4 linked regions of the Arabidopsis thaliana genome follow. The protein of the gene in region 3 interacts with the protein of the main gene of each other region in a biochemical or structural test. Each region holds a gene or a part of one and is shown on either strand. Other genes may lie near its edges.

What was found.
Region 1: the proteins of AKR2 (region 3) and AT1G07400 form a complex in vitro, tested with the Arabidopsis thaliana proteins (one study listed by BioGRID).
Region 2: the proteins of AKR2 (region 3) and HSP17.4 form a complex in vitro, tested with the Arabidopsis thaliana proteins (one study listed by BioGRID).
Region 4: the proteins of AKR2 (region 3) and OEP7 form a complex in vitro, tested with the Arabidopsis thaliana proteins (one study listed by BioGRID).

What each region holds. Positions count from the first base shown.
Region 1 is NC_003070.9:2,273,209-2,276,585, reverse strand, and holds AT1G07400 (HSP20-like chaperones superfamily protein), read right to left. Parts: upstream 1,661-3,377; 5' UTR 1,439-1,660; coding exon 965-1,438; 3' UTR 803-964; downstream 1-802. Other genes in the region: RABA2b (RAB GTPase homolog A2B), read right to left, coding at 152-316; RLP1 (receptor like protein 1), read right to left, coding at 1,932-3,377. UniProt on the Arabidopsis thaliana protein: Cytosolic mediator for sorting and targeting of nascent chloroplast outer envelope membrane (OEM) proteins to the chloroplast. Functions as an AKR2A cofactor to facilitate the targeting of OEP7 to chloroplasts.
Region 2 is NC_003074.8:16,983,618-16,986,849, forward strand, and holds HSP17.4 (heat shock protein 17.4), read right to left. Parts: upstream 1,225-3,232; 5' UTR 1,117-1,224; coding exon 646-1,116; 3' UTR 501-645; downstream 1-500. Other genes in the region: AT3G46220 (E3 UFM1-protein ligase-like protein), read left to right, coding at 44-136, 243-353; AT3G46240 (ER protein carbohydrate-binding protein), read right to left, coding at 2,226-2,338, 2,465-2,620, 2,812-2,844, 2,997-3,232.
Region 3 is NC_003075.7:16,837,780-16,842,934, reverse strand, and holds AKR2 (ankyrin repeat-containing protein 2), read right to left. Parts: upstream 3,404-5,155; 5' UTR 3,189-3,403; exon of another isoform or gene 3,091-3,188; 5' UTR 3,074-3,090; coding exon 3,037-3,073; intron 3,008-3,036; exon of another isoform or gene 2,941-3,007; coding exon 2,807-2,940; intron 2,726-2,806; coding exon 2,513-2,725; intron 2,419-2,512; coding exon 2,270-2,418; intron 2,204-2,269; coding exon 2,017-2,203; intron 1,888-2,016; coding exon 1,795-1,887; intron 1,514-1,794; coding exon 1,374-1,513; intron 1,276-1,373; coding exon 1,176-1,275; 3' UTR 986-1,175; downstream 1-985. Other genes in the region: NTRB (NADPH-dependent thioredoxin reductase B), read right to left, coding at 1-717; CLC-E (chloride channel E), read left to right, coding at 3,590-4,277, 4,371-4,574, 4,656-5,119. UniProt on the Arabidopsis thaliana protein: Exhibits chaperone activity toward chloroplast outer envelope membrane, mitochondrion outer membrane, endoplasmic reticulum membrane and peroxisomal proteins, by recruiting specific proteins containing a single transmembrane associated with an AKR2A-binding sequence (ABS) and subsequently binding glycolipids (e.g. monogalactosyldiacylglycerol (MGDG) and phosphatidylglycerol (PG)) present in the membrane of the target organelle.
Region 4 is NC_003074.8:19,427,672-19,430,881, reverse strand, and holds OEP7 (outer envelope membrane protein 7), read right to left. Parts: upstream 1,197-3,210; 5' UTR 1,108-1,196; coding exon 913-1,107; 3' UTR 623-912; downstream 1-622.

The sequences.
Region 1 (3,377 bases), on a different chromosome or scaffold from region 3:
TTTTCATAACATAAGATCTTCAGATCTAACAATCACATGCCTGTTCAAATATCAGAGGATGCAAATGCGACGACACAATCTAAGATTAAACACCAAATTGATCTGGAGGGAAATTGTCTAGATTTAGAGAAAGCGAGAGAAGAGAGATGACCTGTAAAGTCCGGGTGGCGAATTCGACGCCAATGGTGGATTTGGATTCGAGACAGAACTCGTTTCTGGTGAATCGAGAGAGAATGTTGGATTTACCAACACCGGAATCGCCGATCAGGACGATCTTGAACAAGTAATCGTACTCATGATCTATTCTATTCGCCATTGCTTCTCAAATCCTAGCGTCTGATCAACCTACGCATATACACATTCACGTCAACATCGATCGAAGAAACTACAACTAATCATCGTCAATGAGATCAAAAAGCAGCAAATCGAAACCCTAGAAAATCGAATTTTACCTTTTGAGCAAGCCGGAAGGATCGAGAATGGAACAAATGTTTTTTTTATATATTTTGTTTCTGTATTTCTCTGTTTCCTTTCCTTATACGTTGCGGGTTTTGTGCCCAAGAGGTGAAAACGGAAACTCCCTTTTATTTAGTTTCGAATTTTGAGATTCTTTTTTTTTTGTTTACCACGGAAGAAATAATTTCATTAAATTTCAACTTTTTGTTATAAGACTTTGTTACAAATCAGTCATACCAAAACTAAGATCAGATTATGCAAATTGCATATCTAAATTAAAAATTCAACCTTTAAACTTAAGTTTAGTTGGTCCCATCCGAGTTAAAATCGAATTTACGGCTAAAATCTTCAGAAAAAGCAATTGAAACGAGAATATAAAGGCCTTGCTTAATTATTAGGATTAACAGTTATAATACATCATTACCAAAACACAGAGCCATATTCAAATCAAGAGCCATAATCAGAAGAGTCTTTACGCATAAACATGAAACCCATAAGCTAATTGGCTTTAGCCAGAGATATCAATAGACTTAACTTGAGCCTTCTTCTTAGCCTCTTCCACTTTAGGCACCGTCACAGTCAGAACTCCGTTCTCCATGGAAGCCTTGACTTGATCCATCTTCACATTCTCCGGCAGCTTAAACTTCCTCGAGAATTGCCCGCTCGACCTCTCCACACGATGCCACGTGTCCTGCTTCTCCTCTTTCTCCACGTGTCTCTCTCCACTGATCTTGAGCACACTGTCGTCCTCTATCTCCACTTTAACCTCCTCTTTCTTCATCCCCGGCAGATCGGCCTTGAACACGTGCGCCTCCGCCGTCTCTTTCCAGTCCACACGTGCGTTCGTTATCGCCGATGTTTCTCCGGAGAGCGACGACGGGAATTGCAGTTCCTTGAATGGATCCCAAACGTCGAGTGAGAACGGGTCGAAGATGCTGTTGCTTCGCCTGTTGTTGCCGAAGAAGCTTGGAATAAGCGACATTCTCGATTTGATTTCGAAAGCGAAAGAGATGTTTGGAATGCTGAGATAGCTAATTACGATTTTCCGGCGAGTTCGATTTCTACTTCTGAGCAAAGCTGGTGACTCGGATGATGTATTTATAGTGGTGAACAAGAAATCTCCAGAGCTTCTAGAATTTACGGGTCCCAAACTTCTTTAAACTTCACACGAAAACGATGAAAAGATTGGAAAACAGAATCCAGAAAACTCTAGAGTCTACTAGTAGATGCCTTTCAATTTCAAGTACAGTACGACTCTATTCAGCCGTTATGCGTTTTATGGGCTATAATGGGCTCCTGAGGCCCAAATATTATGAGATAATGTTTAGAAATTGAAACTGGTATCATGTATATATTTGACATCGAAGACATATATTTTGTATACAAAAGCTTTTTCTCATCTAACTTGGATCAACTAAGAAAGCATTTTAAGACTGTGTTATTCCAGTGGTGTATACCTTGGCTAATCCACAGAATCAGTTGCAGACTGAGGAACGCTTGAACTGTAGAATATGATGAACGCATAGATCTACACGATAAAACCATTCTCGGGACCATCGTGAGTCTATGTAGAGGAAAGCAAACAATGCCAAGGATGTAGATATGTAGACTGCAGCACAAGTCCAGTAAAACCACACCATGTCTATCACATTACCTTCTTCTTCATTTTCTTCCTCTTTGGCATGCGTTGACACACTTGGTGGCTCAGGGACTCTCTGGGAGATGCAATTTTTATTTGTAGGAAGTCCACAGAGATGAGCGTTGCCTATGTAACTCCTCTCGTCAAAGGTAACAAGATGGCCTTTGAAAGGGATTTCACCTGATAAATTGTTATATGAGATATTCAAGTATCCTAAACTGTTGAGATCGGCTAGCGCAGGAGGGATACTTCCATCTAGCTTATTGTTGGATAGATCAAGACTCTCTAAGCCCTTCAGCTTTGAAATGCTATCTGGTATGGAGCCTGTGAGGCGGTTACTTGACAAATTCAGGGACCTGATATTCTGAAGATCTCCAATCTCGATTGGAATTTCACCCGATAGTTCGTTGCTCGACAAATCCAGACCATGCATATAGCGGAGAATATCACCTTGATACGCCTCATATCTGCTTTTCGTTAAAAAATCCACTACGGTTGCTGGTTTTGGTTGATAACCATTCCTGACACCATCATCCAAGTTAAGATGTGATCCATATTGACAATGTGGCAAGAATGTAATGTATGAGAAGTCAAAATCTGCAACAAGTGACATGGTACGGTCATTCTGCTCTGCACCAAAAGACATTTTACTGAAACATGATGGTATGGGGCCTCTGAATTGATTGTGAGACAAGTCTAACAGACCAACTTCACTTAGCTGACATATTTTCCCAGGGATATAAGTTTGAAAGCTGTTATTCCGTAGAAGAAGAATACGTAACTTAGATGTCTGGTCAATAGTGTTCAGTATCTTTCCAGAAAAATTGTTGTTCCGCAAATCAAGCACTTCTAATCCCGCAGCCTTGAATAAATTTCCCGGAACTAAACCCGTAAACTCATTGTTTTGTAGTCTTAGTTCTCTGAGAGATGGAAAATTCACATTCCTTGGTATCGAACCAGAGAAGCTATTGTGTGAGATGTCCATAACCTCAACCCAAGGACTCTGTCGTAGAAAAGGGAAAGGACCTTTTAGCTGATTACCACTCATGTATAGGTAGGAAAGCCTTGATATCCTACCAATCCAAAGTGGAAGCATGCCCGAAAACCTATTATCTGATATGTCTAAAAGAGTAAGATTCTTTGACTTCAATAAACCCTCTTCAAGACTCCCAGTAAAATTGTTGCCATCAAGAAAAAGCCCAACTAAACCAGTAAGATTTGCATGCTTCGAAAATATTTTCCCCTGTAATTGATTGTTGGAGAGCTTCAGAACCCTTAGCGA
Region 2 (3,232 bases), on a different chromosome or scaffold from region 3:
TTTTCTTTTTCTGTGGCTAACACGTCTATTTTAAACCATGTAGGAAAAACTTGATGAATCTGCGTACAAGACTCTGACAGATTACCAAACAGCAACTGTAACTCTTCTTGCTCTAATGTCAGCTTCATCCGGCGAGGTTCATATCCTTCTCTTATTTTGTGGGCTACAAATGTTCATTTGAAATGAAACCAATTAAATCTGTAGTGAATGATATCTTAAAACTATTCCATCAACATGAACAGGAACATGATTGCTCCGCAGACAGAATCTTGACCAAACGGGAACTTCTCGAGAGCCAGATGCCATTGCTTAGAACCCTCGTCCTTGGTGACTCGCAGCCACAACAATCCTAATCCAACAAAGTCAGGTCGGAAAGTTTCTTTAGTGTTCTGCTGACAAGACTGAGGTCCCTTCACTTAAAAACTTATTAGGACTAGGAGAAATGACACTTCAAAACTTTTATATTCAAAAGATTCGTATGGTTGGCTCGTAACTATCAATGGATCAAAACACTCTTTTATTACGATTACTTATATTGATACAACGAGATTGGTGATTACAAGAAAAAGAAGAAAGGAAAGTCGCACCATTTATTTCACACTATCACATATTACTGTCTTAAGCTTTCCAACTTCAGAGTTCCTCTTAACCAGAGATATCAACGGACTTGACCTCCGGCTTACTCTCCTGAACTTTCGGCACCGTAACCGACAACACCCCATTCTCCATACTCGCCTTTACTTCCTCCACCTTTGCATTCTCTGGCAACCGAAACCTCCTCATGAACTTCCCACTTGACCGCTCCACACGGTGCCATGTGTCACTCTTCTCTTCATTCTCACTGCTCCTCTCACCGCTTATCTGAAGTATGTTACCATCTTCAACCTCCACCTTCACCTCTTCCTTCTTAAGCCCAGGCACGTCCGCCTTGAACACATGCGCTTCAGGTGTCTCCCTCCAGTCCACTTTAGCGTTTGTGAACGCTGCCACGTCCTTGGCAGGTGCGTTTGTCAACCCGGGCGTCAAGAATCCTTCGAACGGATCCCATACGTCTAGTGAAAATGGGTCGAACACGTTTGTTCTTCGGCCTCCAAAAAAGCTCGGAACTAGAGACATCGTTTCGCTTACTCTGTTTGCTCTGTTTTGTTTTGTTTTGCTAGAACTCTCTTCGAATGCAAACACTTATGTGCGTTGGCGTATTTATAGGGAGAAATGATGGTAGAGAAGAGGATAAGAGATAGAAAGCTCTGCAAGTTTCTTGAAATTTCAGGTTTCTTCTTTCCGTTTCTTTATAACGTGTCTTTCAAGAGTGTCGCTACCAGATTTCTCAGGTGGCTTCAAGAAGCTTCTATGTTGATGGTTGAGACGACATGCAGTTCATTAGGTGGGGTAGTGAACGCCATGCCGTTTCATTTTACCATGGACTTCGTTAATGGGCCTTAATACACCATGCAATTAATCACGTGTTGTATAATGAACACTTATCTTTTGTTGATAAATTCAATCTTAATCATGCATCAGCAACTATTCTTCATTATCTAAATTTTGATTGTTGGTGTTGGTCCCTGTAAGACTAGAGTTCTCTTCTCACAAACAAATTATTAAGTTATAGCAATGAAAAGTTACACTCTTTATTGAATTTTAACCAAGAAGTCGAAGATGACACGGGATTTTTAGTGGTTTGATGAACAAGTTATTAATAACAATTAATCTAAGATTTTTGTGTGAAAAGTTGCAAATCCCTTTCTCGATTGAAGATCTAGAAACGGCGGGAAAGAAGCAATGAAAGCAAGTGGAAACTGGAAATTTGAAGAAAATCGAAGGAAAGTTGAATGAGGTGGGTTGCTTTGGATTTGAAACTAATATTAATTTTTGGGAAGAAGAAGAGTCGGATTAATATCCGATTAAGATAGAGAAAATAAAATAAAAAAATTACATTAGTATAGTTTTTTAAAGAGCAAACTCTTTTTTTGTGATAAATATAAAGACAAAAAATTCGTATGGGAAAATTGAGAATAAATAAAGCGCAACCTAAAATAAATAAATGATAATAGAAATTTATAACTATATACATTAATGCGGATACATGACATTCATGATCAGAAGAATCAAACTATTACGTACAAAGAGAGAGAAAAAAAATCATTGAAAACATATACTAAAACTCAAGATTAAAACATTTCTTTTACATGATGTTCAATATCATTGCGCTACGTATGACTGGTTCATCCAGTAAGGTCGTCGATCTCTCCCATTTCATTTGTAGGCTGGTTTGATGTAGAATCATTGTCCATCTGTTGTGTGAACAGAGTTGACGGTCCAGTCCCCATAGTAGCCACTATCATCAAAACATTTAACTAGTCACATCTCTAGAGTAGATAGAGAGATTAGCCATGCATGAACAAAACTTCATATATGTTTAGAAGAAATGGATCAAATATATAATCACTCTATATATAAATACCTGTGGACGTAGGCATAGCCAAGGCTTGCAGCCTCACTTTGCGACGATTAGCTAAGATTATAGCGATGAACACATATGCGACAAGAACAAACGCAACCGGTGACACTACACCGAGTATAATTGGCAGTTTACTGCTCTTTCCATTGGTTGATCCACCTGACCCCATAACAAATGTAATTTTTTTTACTTGCATAATATGCATAACTAAATGTTTTTTTTTTCTTTTCTTCATAATATTCATGTTATGATGATTACTGAGAGCTTTTTCTAATTAACAAACCCATAAGATAACAAGATAAAATGAATAGAAAGATCCAAATACAAACCTGGACTCACTTCATTGCTACCTCCAGTTCCTCCTTTGCTAGTCCCACCTGAGCCTAACACAAATAAAATTCAATGTGACTCTCTTTTTTTTTCACTCAAACTTCAAAGGTGATTATATAATCTAAATATACTAAAAGCTTGTTTGTTTTGGTAATTCGTCGAAAAATAGAGTAATTCATTAAAAATGCATTCCAAGAAAACAAACCAGATCCGGATCCACTGCTCCCAGATCCTCCTCCTCCACTTCCACCGGATCCTGATCCTGAACCGGAACCAGTTTCGTTTCCGCCTGTGCTTTCGCTTGTACCCTTACTAATTACATAAAGCTCGGCCGCATTTATCATGGGCGGTAAAAGCGCACTAGAAGTGGACCAGAGCGTCAGTAGGGTGCTTGAACTGGCCACCACATCTCTCACGACCACTTGAGTTGCTTTTCCAAAC
Region 3 (5,155 bases):
AGACGCTCTAAAAGCATCTCTCCTATGGATTATATACACTTTAGATCCATATTTTGTAAGAAAGTTTGCTTCTTCCATTGCTGAATCGCCTCCACCGATCACCGCAAGAGGTTTGTTACGGAATATCGGAGCAGCTCCGTCGCAAACAGCACAAGCGGAGATTCCACGGTTCCAGAAACCTCCAGAAGCTTCACCAGATCCAACGAAGCTAAGCCGCTTAGCCACAGCTCCAGTAGCGAGAATCACAGCGTCAGCGAGAATGGCTTTTGAATCTGTGAATAGCTTAAACGGTTTCGAAGAGAAATCGACTTTCGTCACCGTCTCTGTAAATATCGTAGTACCGAATCGCTCCGATTGTTTACGGAATTTGTCAGTGAGCTCTACTCCGAGAATACCTTCTGGAAATCCGGGGAAATTCTCGACGTCGGTGGTGGTTGTTAGTTGACCACCGGGAGCGATGTCGTTAGCCATCCATCCTTCGAAGAGAAGAGGTTTAAGTTCAGCCCTAGCTGCGTAAATCGCCGCCGTGTGTGCCGCTGGGCCACTTCCTACGATACAGAGCCTTGTGTTGTGAGTTTCGAGACCATTCATGACGGCGGATGAAGAAAACGCGGCGGAGGCGAGAGACGGCGGTTGAGAGAGAGTGGATTCACCACCAAGCCGTGCAAAGCTTCGTGCTTTGCTTATCAAACACTTTAAACGACTCACACAGTTCATTAGGAACGAATTTACTTGCAAAGACAAGACCTTTGATTCACACCAAAAAAAAAAAAAAAGACAAGACCCTTGATTTTGTTTTGATTCTCAAATATTTTGGGTTTTGAGCTTTGCGTAAATATTGTCAAGCTTGGGAATTTGGGCAATACAGTAACAGAAGAATGGAATAACTTGGAGATCAAGTAGTTTTTCTTACATATCCTCCAAACCAGAATGATTCTTCCAAATTGAATCATTCTGTAGAGGTCGACGAAATAAAGAATATAATCATAAATTAAATCATTGATTGCTATTTCTTTCTTTATTGACTTTTAAAACAACATAAGAGACAAATTTAGAAGAAGAGAGGAACTAATAAAAAGTGTACACAAAAAGCCTGTGAAACTGGTTCAGGACACACACAAGACAAATGCCTCAAAGACAATATGAGCTTAGAGCTTTCCTTTAACCAGCAGAGCTCAAAGGAAAGCATCCTTCTCAAGCAGCTTCACCACCTCCAGCTGGCTGTTGAGCTTCGCTACATCAATTGGCGTCTTCTCGTCTAGGTTTTGCAGAGTGCTGCAACCACACACATCAACCAAAGCACATATAATTAAAGTCCTGAAACAGTGTTTAATGGAGTTGTTTCATTATAAGTACTGTGTTGTGAGACTTACACTGCAGCACCATTCTCCAGGAGAAGGCTTACACACTCTTTCCTCCCGTAACCAGCAGCATAATGCAGAGGTGTGTTCTTGTTTTTGTCAACCGCATTAACACTTGCTCCAGCATCGATAAGAACTTGAGCACATTTCAACTGTTGATAGGGCTCAACAGGGTTAAACTCAGTTCAATCCATATTCATAAGCAAAATCTTTAGTATGCAAGTAATCGCCAGTTCCATCTCATTGCTCTTTCACCAAATATTTGAACTTGCTATAAGTAATTGTGTCATGAAACTCGTAGACGTAAGTAGACTGGTTACTTTTCTACCAATTGAATGATTATAAAGATTCTTAACTTCACAGCTACTGAAAAAAAGAGAACCATCTAAATCCGAATATTTAATTGCCGTGAATTGATAAGAGAATTGCATACCTCGCCGTATCCACAAGCAAAATGCAATGCTGTCCTTCCTTCAGAATCTTCTTCATCTTTGTTACCACCAGATGCCAAGGCAGCTTTCAAACCCTAATGAATCAACGAATAAAAATCCAATAACGAGTTCAACAAAACAAAACTTGGAACATCTAATTCCTCAAGCAACACGCAAGATAAATCTCACATGGTCAAGCATATTAACGTAGGAAGCAGTCTAACCTCAACATCACCAAGACTGGCAGTTTGGTGAACAATAGACTCTTCTTCTTCACCTTCTTCTGCTACCTCAGGTTCAGCTGAAACAGTCTGGTCTGGTAAGCCAGCAACAGGCATACCCATTGCTTCACCCAGCTTTTTCAGCACTTCTGGATCATTCCAGTACCTAAAACAGAATAAATAATTCTTCCTTCATAAACAGAAACAAACTCTACAGTTTCTCTAAAAAACATTGAAAGAAGTTTGTATCACTCACTTCATCATGGCAGAAGGACCACCAGCATCAATCTCATCTAGTATAGGTTTCAACTCTGGATCTTCTTTCATCCGCGCCATACGCTCAGTAAAGTGTTCTGCTGTTTCAGGATTCGAGAAAGCATCCAAAAAAGGAGACATTTGTGGATCCTGTAGGCAAAAAAAATAAATAAAATCAGATAAGACACAGAGCTTCATTCAAAGCCACACCTCGATTAGATGGAAAAAGTCATCAATTCCTAACCTGAACTAAGGCGGTACCAAGTTTCTCGGCCATTGTCTTAAACTCAGGGTTATGCATAACCTGTTGCATTGTATTGACATACTGTTGAGGATCAAAGTTAGGGAAACCACCTTCCTGGCCAGCGTTAGGAATAGATCTCTGAAGCTGCTCAGCCAATTGGTTAAACGCAGGATCTTTAGCTATTTGCTCAGCCATTTCTCTGATGCTAGGATCCTACAAAAAAAACCATTATCAATTAAAAAAAAACTCAAAGAAGATAACTTTTCAATTGTGCTAACAGCAAAGGTAACTTACGTTGAGAATACTAGCCATATTAGAGAAATCAAAAGCATTGAAATTCAAGCCAGGCATAGCTGATGAAGTTGAACTCCCAGAAGCTGATTCCGGCTTAGAACTCTTATTCTCCTCCGTCGATTTGGGTTTCTCATCTACAGTAAACAAATTACAATGAACCAATAACCAAATCTGACTAGAAACGATTCATTATCGCAGATCAGATTGTATACTGAGAAGAAAATAATCACCTGAAAGAAGAGGATTTTTCTCCGAATTGGAAGCCATTAAGTATGACTAAAACCCTACAAAAAACACAATTTTGTTTTCAGGAAAAGGTGTAAACAAGAGATTCAACGAAAATAAGCGAAGAGGAAGACAAAGAAATCGAATCGACAACTACCTAAGAGAATTTAGTAAGAAAAGGAAGAAGAAGAAGAAATTAACCCGAAAAGACAATGTTGTGGTGGCAAACGCTCATGAAACTTGAAATACAGATAATCTTTCTTTTTTTTAATATGACGACAAGAGAAAAATTATTTATTTATCAGCTGGATTTTGGATTGAGAAGAAGATCAACTGCGAGGGACAACAGCCACTGCTTCTCCATTGAAGTTTGAACCTAAAGCTAAGAGGCCTTTTATTTTTAATCAAATTTATTGTTATTGGCCCATATAAACCTGTTTACCTCAAGGCCCAAGCCCATGCGTTTGAATAATAAGATCAGCCACGTAAGATTTGTGATTTAAGATCAAATTATCCGTTAATGGATAAACACGCGTCACTTCACGGAAGCAGCCGTTCATGGCAGCCACGCTTCCACTCTGTGCTGCCCTCCGATCTCCCGTCTCTTCCCGGAGATTCGCTCCAATTCACAAAACCGACGTTCCTTTTCAGTTCAATGTCGTCCTTTCACCGTTTTTCGGTTCCGTCGCTATTGGCGGTAGAATTTTCCCGCGTTTACCGGCGGCGAAGCAGGAGACTGATCAGGATGAGGTTGGATTTGATCAGCAGCCGTCTCAGGAGCTTGCGATAGCGTCGGCTTGTTTGGTTGGTGTTCTCACTGGAGTTAGTGTGGTTCTATTCAACAACTGTGTTCACTTGCTTCGAGACTTTTCCTGGGATGGGATTCCTGATCGTGGAGCTTCGTGGCTTAGAGAGGCACCGATCGGTTCCAATTGGTTGCGTGTTATCCTTGTTCCGACTATCGGCGGTTTGGTGGTGAGCATCCTCAATCAGCTTCGAGAATCTGCTGGAAAATCTACTGGAGATTCTCATTCTAGTCTCGATCGCGTAAAGGCAGTGTTGCGTCCTTTCCTTAAGACTGTTGCCGCATGTGTGACGCTTGGGACTGGAAATTCGCTGGGGCCGGAAGGTCCAAGTGTTGAAATTGGAGCGTCAATCGCTAAAGGTGTGAATTCTCTGTTCAATAAAAGTCCTCAGACTGGCTTCTCACTTCTTGCCGCTGGCTCAGCTGCTGGCATTTCCTCTGGTTTGTTCATCTGATATTTGCTAATGTTGTTCTCTCTTGCGTATGGAACTCTTGATTGATTCGTTAAGAGGACTTTGTTATATGTTGTTACAGGGTTCAATGCAGCTGTGGCTGGATGCTTCTTTGCAGTTGAATCCGTTTTGTGGCCTTCTTCATCAACTGATTCATCAACTTCACTTCCAAACACAACTTCTATGGTTATTCTTAGTGCTGTTACTGCTTCTGTGGTTTCCGAAATCGGTCTCGGCTCTGAACCTGCGTTTAAGGTTCCTGACTATGACTTCCGCTCTCCTGGAGGTAATATGCATTGCCATTCTTATGCTTTTTACGCAAGGGAACCAGAAACCAAACTTATGAGAGCTGGTCACTGATTTTCAGAACTTCCACTCTATCTTTTATTGGGCGCTCTGTGTGGCTTGGTCTCGTTGGCATTATCTCGATGTACATCATCCATGACATCTGCTGTTGACAGTCTTAACAAGGATGCTGGGATACCAAAGGCTGTATTTCCTGTAATGGGTGGATTAAGTGTTGGTATCATAGCTTTGGTATACCCTGAAGTATTATACTGGGGTTTTCAGAATGTGGATATTTTGTTGGAGAAACGTCCATTTGTGAAGGGTCTTTCAGCTGATCTTTTGCTTCAGCTGGTAGCGGTCAAGATAGCTGCAACCGCATGGTGTCGGGCTTCTGGACTTGTCGGTGGATACTATGCTCCTTCTCTCTTTATTGGCGGGGCAGCAGGAATGGCCTATGGAAAGTTTATTGGACTTGCTTTGGCTCAGAACCCTGATTTCAATCTCTCTATCTTGGAAGTGGCATCTCCACAAGCTTATGGTCTGGTACTGTTCTTATGTGGTCAATGTTTCAAAATTGTC
Region 4 (3,210 bases), on a different chromosome or scaffold from region 3:
TTGAAAGGTCCATGCCATTGTCATCTTTTAATCTCTGTTTGGGATCTTTGTGGAAAAACCTAGAGTACAAAATGGGGCAAATTATCAAAACAAAACAAAAAAGGTTTGAAGAAGAAATATCTGATGATTAGGACTTAAGCATGTATTAGAAAACTCTTGCCTTAACAAACTGATAATGATAAAAGAGATAATCTGAATCCTAAATGTCAATGAAACTATCCAACCGGACAATAATCATTGCAAAGCTACCATCTATAGTAATTTTCATGTAATTTTCTGGTTTTGATATTTTCCTGAATTGGAGTAAATATTCAAATTAAACAATGAACTTCTATAACCAAGTCTCTCCATTAGAGACTAGTAGTACATTTTCTTGGTGTTTTCTCATATGATGAAGTCAGTCGTCGTCCAAAGTTTTCTCAACTAAATGATGTTAAACAATCAATCTGACACATCTTTGTATCACCACATGTTATCGTCTCCCTATACTTATTTAGCTAATCTGCTTTATCTATAAAGCAATCTTGTAATTGTCAAGTTTGATATTTTGCTCTAACATGCTTCTTTTCAAGAGATACGTATAATCGAATCATAACTTAAAACAATTTAAGTACTTATCGGATTCCTAATCTCTTCTTCCACCTTAATAATACAGCTCGAAACTTTATACAAAATACGAAAAACGGTGTAACAAATCATGTATGAATATTGATTAGATTAATGATTCTGTTATGCGATTGAACTACAATAACAGATTCAATATAGCAGACTTTTCCAAAAATTGATGACAAATAAACGATCATGACTCAAAAGAAATTGCTCAAACTGTTATGATTAAGAACACATGGATTCATCAGTTACATGAAATGGATTGAAATCAGTAAATCTCTTTAATCTGATAAAACCCTAATTTTACAAACCCTCTTTGGATGTGGTTGCAGTAGCGGCGGTGTCGAAGTCATCGGGGTCTTTGGTTGGGTCAGATTTGTCGATTGAGGAGCGGAATTTATCGAGGAAAGGCTTGAAAGCGATCTCTATGGCTAACCATCCTAACGCCATCGCTGCGACCACCACAGTCGCCTGTTTCGCTCCCGAAGTTTTTCCCATCGCTGCGTCGTCGTCTTGTTCGCGTGTCGGTGGTATCAACCGATGGTTTAAGATCGGGAGATGGGTTTTACTAGGATGTTTAAAATGGGCCGGTTTGGGCTTCTCATTGGATAAAGATAGTTTGTTTGTTAAACTATGGCCCAACTTTTTATCCGTCTATTGGTTAATTAATACAAACTTTTTATATAATTGTAAATATAATTGAAAGGATCCCTATTTTATTTTCTTGGGAATATATATATGGAAAAAAACAATCAATAGAATTAGATAAATAGTTCAATATATCAACAATTTCTTTTTTGTTAGGATAAGGAACTTTTACCTTTTTTCTAATATAGTTACAAATTGTGTTTTTTTTTTTCTTAATTTATTATCAAATTTCTTTTTTACTTATATATAACCTCCTTTTTCATATAGAGTTATTAACTTTTTCATTTTCTCAGTAAATGTATTAACAAATTTAGACTTAATACATGAAGACATCTAATATTTTTATTGATATGTGTCGTGAACTCGTGACATGTTAGTTAGTAATTTTTATAAAAAAAATTTAGATAGGTTAAAATTATTTGATATGTGTAGGGGTGTCAATGGGTCAAAATTTATTGGTCAACTCAACTCAACCCATAAACCCTAATGAGTTGAAAATTTTGACTCAAATGAGTTGATGGGTCAAATGAGTTGATGAGTCAATTGGTTTGATGAGTAAAATGAGTTGGGTTGTAATGATTAATGGTTTCAATGGTTTACCCAATTAACCCATCAAGTTTTGTAAAATTGAATTAAACCAACTAAAATTTCTAAATCAATGTCAATTTAAGTCTAACCAACACATCTAAACCAATTTAATAAAATTAATATTTTTCCAAATTTCTTAAATATACATGCGATGAAATTGAGAAAAAGTAAACTCGTAAATTTTCCACCAAAAAACATAAACCCGTGATTTTCCCGCCAAAAACGTAAATCCGTGATTTTCTCGCCAAAAACGTAAACCCGTGATTTTTCCGCCAAAAACGTAAACCCCTGATTTTTCCGCCAAAAACGTAAACCAGAGATTTTCCCGCCAAAAACGTAAATCCATAATTTCCCGCCAAAAACGGAAACCCGTAATTTTTCCGCCAAAAACGTAAACCCATAATTTTTTTCCAAAAACGTAAACCCGTGATTTTCCCACCAAAAACGTAAACCCGTGATTTTCCCGCCAAAAACGTAAACCCGAGATTTTTCCGCCAAAAACATAAACCCGTGGTTTTCCCGCCAAAAACGTAAACTCGTAATTTTGACGCTAAAAACGTAAACTCGTAATTTTCTCGCCAAAAAACGTAAACTCGTAATTTTTCCACCAAAAACGTAAACCCGTGATTTTCCCACCAAAAACGTAAACCCGTGATTTTCCCACCAAAAACGTAAACCCGTGATTTTCCCACCAAAAACGTAAACCCAAGATTTTCCCATAAAAAACGTAAACCCATAAAAAGTAGAATCCGTAAATATCCTAAGTTTGATGATAATGAATTAATAATGATAATTATTTATTATTATTTTATAATAGTAATTAAGTAAATTATTAATTAAATGGGTTAACCCATTTAACAACTCAACCCATCAAATTAAATGAGTTATGAGTTGACCCAACCCATTTAACAAAATGAGTTGAGTTAACACATAACTCATTTAACTCTAAACTCATTTGATTATGAGTTGGGTTGAGTTGGGTTACCCATTTTGACACCTCTAAATATGTGTCTCTAGCCTCTACTATTTTTAAAAACTAAATTTTATATAATAAATTTTTTTATCTTAATAATAACCAAGTTGAACATATTTTAGTTCTAAAATTAACTACTCGGTTTAATATTAAACTTTAGACCAGGACATGCCGGATAACATGGTCTTAGTGTTGTCGTACGTCACCATTAGAGTTTCAATTTGCATAATACAAGGTGGTTGACCCAATAAAAGAAATTTGATTCAATTTCGATATAAACAGGTTTGTTTTGGTTCAGTTTTACCTATTACTTTTTATTTTGTCCAATCCCAAAACTATTATTTCAAAGACAAATTGGAGAAGAAACAAAAAAAAACTAATGGTTGGACAAA